Linked DNA regions of Oryza sativa Japonica Group. The protein of the gene in region 1 interacts with the protein of each later gene in a pairwise test. Links are inferred from orthologs where the notes say so. Each region holds a gene or a part of one and is shown on either strand. Other genes may lie near its edges.

Evidence for each region. The genes of interacting proteins can lie anywhere in the genome.
Region 2: the proteins of SCAR-like protein 2 (region 1) and probable protein BRICK1 interact in binary tests that used the Arabidopsis thaliana proteins (3 or more experiments, as listed by UniProt). The link is inferred for Oryza sativa Japonica Group from reciprocal best matches to the Arabidopsis thaliana genes WAVE2 and BRK1.

Annotation. Positions count from the first base shown.
Region 1 is NC_089035.1:5,898,806-5,902,553, reverse strand, and holds the start of SCAR-like protein 2, read right to left. Parts: upstream 2,519-3,748; 5' UTR 2,056-2,518; coding exon 1,844-2,055; intron 871-1,843; coding exon 707-870; intron 226-706; coding exon 102-225; intron 40-101; coding exon 1-39. UniProt on the Arabidopsis thaliana protein: Involved in regulation of actin and microtubule organization. Part of a WAVE complex that activates the Arp2/3 complex. Regulates trichome branch positioning and expansion.
Region 2 is NC_089036.1:36,178,097-36,181,844, reverse strand, and holds probable protein BRICK1, read left to right. Parts: upstream 1-1,561; 5' UTR 1,562-1,670; coding exon 1,671-1,809; intron 1,810-2,874; coding exon 2,875-2,996; 3' UTR 2,997-3,424; downstream 3,425-3,748. Other genes in the region: pentatricopeptide repeat-containing protein At3g62890, read right to left, coding at 1-1,347. UniProt on the Arabidopsis thaliana protein: Involved in regulation of actin and microtubule organization. Part of a WAVE complex that activates the Arp2/3 complex.

The DNA.
Region 1 (3,748 bases):
TGTCTCCTCGAACAAGCCCCAGCTCCAGCATTATCAAATCTAAAAGACAAAACATTTCAGGAACCACAAGCGCATCAATAAAGAAAACAATCAAGTCTTACTTATCAAGAAGGTAAAGTCGTGGTGGGTCTCGACATTCTTCATAGGAATCCATCATAAATCGAGGTAGATCACTAGAAAGCAGGTGATTTTGCTCATCTTTAAGTTGTGCATGCCAATCAGAGCCTGCATTTTACCAGCACATTCAACAAAACTGTGAGACCATCTTAAACCAAATTATTCGGTGAGAGCAAGTGACGTTCAAGTATGAGACAGCATCTGACTTTGTACCGTGTAGATCTAGTAACAGTAAAACTAAAGTTTAATTCATTACCAACAACCAGAGCAGCTCTAGCATCATACGGCTAGGTTAACTTACCGCCAAAAAGGTCTATAGCAATTTAGCGACACCACCAACTTCAATTGGAAGTTCCTTATGGGTTTGGCCATTTTTCAGGTTGGCATTTTGTGATAAACTACTATGGACCTCATGCACAACATCAGGTTACTTCAACTAGTTTCAGTGCATTCTGATGGGTTTGTGGGCAAATCAGTGACAAGTAATTGGTTAAGATGGTTGTTGACAATTTAAATATTCATAGGAACCCTTAGCATGGTTTCTTTTATACTCCTGGTCATGATATATTGACACTGATACGGTATGTACCTGGTACATAAGTGAAATGTATATGGCTCTTCTGATTCTTGACAGCTTTTTCAAGAGATGGAAGTGCTGCCTCGATGTTCTGTACTCGAGTCAGCACCTTGCGCCCCCTAGCAGATGTAGTTATAACTTGCTCATGTAAGTCGTGAAAAACATCTGCTGCAAATCTGGTAAGACCAAAATATCTATTTAGCCATAGTAAACTAAACGATTACATGAAAATAGAGGGCTCACAACATAGTCGAACCCAACTAATAGCCAGCACTTCAATTTTTACCAGACACGGTTAAGAAACATATAGCGGTAATAAAAAGAAAGAAACATAGTAAAAGCAGGCAGGTATGTAGGGATGTAGGGCGGTATTCAAAAGTAAATCAATAGCCAGAAACAACTTCCAAAATGATGGTGGGAGCTTTTCATCAACAAGCAATGGAAATTGCCAACAGCCCTTGAAATCCTCAAGCCAGAAGTAGCAAAGACATTCAATAACATCTATCCCAAAACCCAAATGCATCCAATCACCCCTTAGACTAACTGATGGAAAAGGAAAATTTCAGAATTACCGGCGATGTCATCCAAAAACAAAAGGGAAATTTTCCAAAGCATAACCTATTACCCCCATGCTAACACAAGATCTTACTGAAAACCACAGTGAGATACTCAAAATACATAAACAGTTTCGATCAATTCACCAAAGCATGAAACCCGAACAAAGCAAATGCGGCAAAAAACCACATTGGTCAGCCATTTCCCACTCCTAAAACGCATCCAACCCTAGAAAGAGATCCCAGACACATATCCAGTTCTGGACAGGCAGCTCCGCAAAATTTCTCGATAACCAACAGACCGAAATCCTACTCTAATTCCTAAAACCCAGCGTGCCACTCGTCTCATCAAATCCAACCTCAACCCCAGATCCCCCTTCTTCTCATCACCCCAATCCTATGCACAAACCAACACACACCACCACTCCCGAACAAGCGCGAAACTTCCCCCCGGAACTGCAGCGGCTCGCCGAAATCATCACACACGAAGCGCACCAGATCCCGCGCTGGAGCCACAAACTCACGCGGCAACTCGAATCTCGCCTGAATCACAGCGCCAAGGAGAGAGGGTGAGAAGTAATGTGGGGGCGCTTACTCCGCGAGATCTCCGAGCTGGCGCAGGATCCCGACGAGACCGGCGACGGCGACGCCCTCGAGCAGCGCCTTGGGCTCCGCCTCCCCGCCCTTCTTCGCAGCAGCCCCAACTCCTCCTCCTCCTCCTCCTCCTCCTCCACCGCCGCCGCCGCCGTACAGGTCGGGGTCCCCAAGCCCCACCTCATTCCGCACCTCGAACCTCACCAGCGGCATCTCCCACCCACCTCCACCTCCACCTCACCGCCGAGCGGCACCCCTCATCCTACAACAATAAAAAAGGCGACGCCGCAACGGCTACTTTTCCCCCGGTGGTGGTGGGAGCCGGTGCGCCCGCCGACTCCGGTAGCTCTCCCCCGGTGGTGTCGTGGCGTCACAGGTTGCCGCCTCCGCAAGGAAGGAAGGGGCGCGAGGAGTAGCAGCAGCAGCAGTGGAGGCGAGCGACGCCGACTTCGATCGATCGAGCGGGCGGAGGCGCGTCGGTCTCCGACAAGGTGCTGGGCGAAAGGGACGGGGAGGCGAGGGGGGTGTAAAGTGGTGGTGGTGGCTACTACTGTGGAGGGCTTGTACTGGTCGGAGGCGCGGTGCGTGCGTGCGTGTTGTGTGCGTCTCTCTCGCTGTTTCTTTTCTTGTGTTGTGGCGACTTTGAGGCTTGGAAGTTGGAAGAAGAAAAGGGAAATGGAACCTGGGAGTTGGGACATGCGTTTTGTGTCGTTACGCTGTACACAGATATGAGAGGTCAATTGGTTTTATTTTGGGGGGGATTTGTTTTGATGGACTGAAAATTGGGGGGGGGGGGGGGGGGGGGTAGGTATATGATTGTTGTATTTGTATGCTTGTTTATGAGGGGGTATTGGGTTGGGCTCGTAGGTTAGACACAATAATTTAAACAAGTGTGTGTAGGATACTTGTAGCAGCTAGGTGTAGTACTATCATGTACTCTAAGATATACTTGTGCTTGAGATATAGCCTGGCTAATGATGGTGGTAGAGTGGGTAAGTAGTGGTTTTTTTTCTCGAACGCGCAAAAGGATTGCACGTCAATATATTAGAAGAAAAAGAGTTTTAGTTACACACCGCAATCAGCCAGACTGGCTTATGCTAGGGGAAAGAAGAAAAAGCAAAAGAAGAAAAACCTGAAGCTGAAGCTTTAGAGAAACTACGGCGGCTAAAAACAGACTCCAAGCAGCGGGAAGGGGCTAAGCCACGCTACACTCCCAACAAATTCCCAAAAGCGGCGACGCCAACTAAAGACCATAAATGGCCCTCCGCATGGATGGACTCTAGAACCACTGGGATCGAAGAAAGAGCGGAGTTAAAAACCCTAGAGTTCCGCTCCTTCCACAGACACCAAGAGACCAGGAGCACCATGGAGTCGAAGCTGTCGCGGAGGTGCTCTGGTAAGCAGGCCCTAGAGGATGGCCACCAGTCCTGGAACCAATTGCCACGGGGTGGAGAGAGGGCAGACCGGCCAGAAGGCGACAACACCCGGAGCCAGACCTGCCGAGCGAACACGCAGTCGAGGAGAATGTGGTTCGCCGTCTCAAGATCCTGAGCATAAAAGGGGCAAGTCGAGTGACTATCGATGCCACGCTTTTGGAGGAGATCAGCCGTCCAGCAGCGCTGCTGGAAAGCAAACCAAAGTGGGTAAGTAGTGGTGATCAATGATCATGTCAAATTTGACGAAAATGTGACATTTTTTGGGTGAACCCTTAGCGTGTCTCTTCTTTATCAGTGAAACGAGGCCTAGTTTCTAATTTTCTCAAAAAAAAACTTTATCATTTTCGTGGAGAAATATATAATCCATCAATCCTAAAATATAACAAGACATAGCATTCGCCATAGATATTAAAAGGGTGAATAGCCAAAGTGGTCCTCCAAGTTTCATATAAGGATTAGTTTAGTTCTTA
Region 2 (3,748 bases), on another chromosome or scaffold:
CCGCACGCCCACCACCTCCTCCCACTTCCCCCGCCCCGCGTACAGGTTCGACAGCTGCACCTGCACCCCGCTGCGGTCGTCCAGCCCCAGCTCCGCCATCATCGCCGCCACCTCCTCCCCGCCCTCCGTGTCCCCGCGCGCCACGCACGCGTTCAGCAGCGCCCCCAGCACGTACGAGTCGGGCCTCATCGGCATCCTCCGCACCACCTCCAGGGCCTCCTCCACCATCCCCGCCCGCCCCAGCACGTCCACCATGCTGCCGTAGTGCTCCACGCCGGCCTCCATGCCGTGCACCGCCGACATGCTCCCCAGGATCTCCCTCGCGCGCCCGACCAGCCCCGCCCTCCCGCACGCGCTCAGCACGCAGATGAAGGTCACCTCGTTGGGCCGCACCCCTTCCTCCTGCATCCGCCCGAACAGCTCGATGGCCTCCACGCAGCGGCCGTGGTCCGACAGGCCCGAGACCATGGCCGTGTACGCGAACACGTCCCTCTCCGCCATGCCCGAGAACACCTGCCTCGCCGTCTCGAGGCTCCCGCACTTGGCGTACATGTCCACCAGCGCCGTGGCCACCATCCCGTCCTTGGCCATCGCGCCGTGGGCGGCAACCAGGTGGGCGTGCACCCACCGCCCTTGCTCCAGCGCCCCGAGCGCCCCGCACGCGGCCAGCACGCTGAGGATGACCGCCCTGTTGGGGCGCACGCGGGCCCTGAGCATCTCCTGGAACACGTCGACGGCCTCCGCGAAGCTCCCGGCGCCGACGTAGGCGCTGAGGATGGCGGCCCAGGCGATGGTGGTTTTGTGGGGCATTGCGTCGAACAGGGCGCGCGCGTGGTGGAGGCGGGCGGCCCTGCCGTAGGCGGTGAGGAGCGAGGTCCAGGAGCAGACGTCCCTGCAGGAGACGTTGACATCGAAGACGCGGCGGGCGGAGCAGAGGAGGGCGCAGGAGGCGTAGGCGTGGATGAGGCCGTTGGAGACGTAGGCGTGGGCGTCGCAGGCGACGAGGATGGCGAGGGCGTGGAGCGATTCTACGAGGACGCGCGGCGAGGCGGCGTGGGGAAGAGGAGCGAGGGAGGCGGAGGCGGTGAGGAGGAAGGAGAAGGTGTAGGCGTTGGGGAAGAAGGGATTGGTAGCGATGATGCGGCGGAGGCGCGGGAAGAGGCGGAGGGCGCGCAGCGGGGAGTGGGAGTGGGAGGGCGGGAGGAGGGAGCGGAGGAGCGAGTTGGGGAAGAAGCGGTCGGCTAGGAGCGAGGAGACGACCAGGTGGGCGTGGGCCTGCCGGAGCTGCGCGGCGGTCAGCCAAGGGCGGGACAGTAGCAGATGCAGTGCCGCCGGCGGCGCCACCATCCAGACCGAGCCAGAGCCAGCAAACAAGCAGCTCCCCTGCTCCAGGTCGAAGGAAAGGAAATGAAAGTAGTGGGGGAAAAGAAAAACTGGGCCGAATTTGTTCAAGCTCATGTGCGTGGGCTAACTCATGCATGCCGGCCCAGCCCAACAGATGCCACTCGGAGTTGCGGGAGAATGAAGATGAGGAGGGGACGACACCAGCACGTCACGTCACGAGCAGCAGCGGCGGCGGCGGCGAGGAGGAGTAGAGTAGGTGAGGTGAATCGGGGGAGGGAGGAATCCAAGAAGAAGCAGGTAATTAATCGATCGATCGGGAGGGGGAGATGGCTCGCGCGGGCGGGCATGGGATGGGGAACCCGGTGAACGTGGGGATCGCGGTGCAGGCGGACTGGGAGAACCGCGAGTTCATCTCCAACATCTCCCTCAACGTCCGTCGCCTCTTCGACTTCCTCCTCCGATTCGGTCCGTTTTTTCTCTTCCTACCTCTTCCTCCTTATCCTTCCCATAATTCCTCCATGGACCTGCACTGGATTCACATTTATTTCTGCTTCCTCTACTCAGGCATAGCCACATTTCTCTGGATCTGCATTACCCTTTTTCCTTTCTACTACTAGATCTGCCTTGCTCCTTCCCTAACTGGGCTTCCACATTTCCATTAGTCTTGGCGACACAGCTATGCATATGCACCAACCAAAATTTCATTTCCACTCTCCCTGCCTTCCACAAATGTGCTCTACCTCACCCATGTACACTAGTACCATCAACTCTAAACCCATTCTGCCTCCCTTCTAATCTGAACTTGTTTCTGCCATTGTCAACACAGTATCTATAAATCAAGCCTTTCTTCTGCCCTTCCAACAGCTGCCAGCGTCACACCAAACAAACTAACTTAAGCATATTCGGAAATTCAGTTCAGTAACGGTGTTACTGGATATAGACCTTTAATTGTTCTTAAATCTTTTCTACGATATGAATTCTCTGGACTATAAGCTTATTAAATCAACGTTAGTTAAGCTTCCATTGACAAGACAGCATATTTCCTGTTGGCCAGCCAACTACTCCAGTGACTATGTTCTAGTCAGTCTGATTTGCACAATTGTCATTATCTAAAATTTTGCATAATTGTGGAGTAGTTGTTACTTGGAAAGGAGGGATTGGCTTGGTGCTTTTCCAAGCCCTGTATGCTTCTTATTATGTCCATTAAACCACTGTCAAAAACAAAGCTTGAAAGATACCTTGAACATTACTGTGCAGAATATATGTGTTCTGTACTTTGCCCTCCGTGTATACATTTAGTCCAGAATGCATATTGAACCTTTTCAATATGGTCCGGATTAAGGCACTGGTAACTATCATACCTTCCATTTTTGCTCCAAACAAGATGCATTCACAACATAATCGCTCCATGTTGATTAGGAACTCGAGCATGTCAGCAAAACAGAGTGGACTGGGGGTAGCATATCTTATGCATGCATGTTTATTCAAGTTAACTAATATGCTTACACAGGTTTGTATGCATTTGTGCAGAAGCTACTACGAAGAGCAAACTTGCGTCCTTGAATGAGAAGCTGGACATCCTAGAGCGGAAACTGGAGGTGCTTGAGGTTCAAGTGAGCAGCGCAACAACCAATCCATCCGTTTTCAACTAGTAAGTGCAGTTAAGGGCTGCTTGTCTGCACATAAGTAGTGCTTTCAATGTGTTATGGGTTCAAAAGGACAGAGCTTTGGATGTCTGTATTGTGGGTGCAAGAGGAGAGGTTGTTCCTGTGTGTTTCTCTGTCTGTGTGTGTGTGTGTGTGTGTGTGTGTGTTAATCTGTATGCAGTGCCAGTAGCGTGCAAGGCAGCTTCTTTTCTACTCAATTCCATGTACAATTGTAACGTGTTCCAAGTTTGTGTGGAGATAACTAACCGATTGTTGAGTGCAAACCTGCAATGTTGCCTGCTTGCTTGTTGGAATGTGGAGTTTTTCCCTTGTAAAACTGTAACTTTTTAGGGGAATATTGCACGTTTGCACGCAGTCGGACAGACGCCGGCCCGAATTTTTTATTTATGGTAATTATTATCCTTGAAATTAAATAAGTAGTAAATCATGGAGGGGATTTAGGAAAATAGAATGGACGTTATCTACTAGGACATCCAGTGATGGACGCTGCTGGGAACAACGTCCGAGTGTGGACGCTCTTCCTAACCACGTCCTCCCATGGTGCAGCCTAGCAGCTTCTTCCTGTATGTCTTGACTGCCGCGGTGCTTCCTTACCGCACTAACGCTGCCTCTAGTGATTTGGGCAGGCAGCCATCCAGGGGTGTGGCGTGTGCCCTTCTCATATGCTCGCGTCAGGGATAGGTAATGGCGCTGCAGCCTTTTCAAATGTACAGGGGTAAGACAATCGATCGCCATCC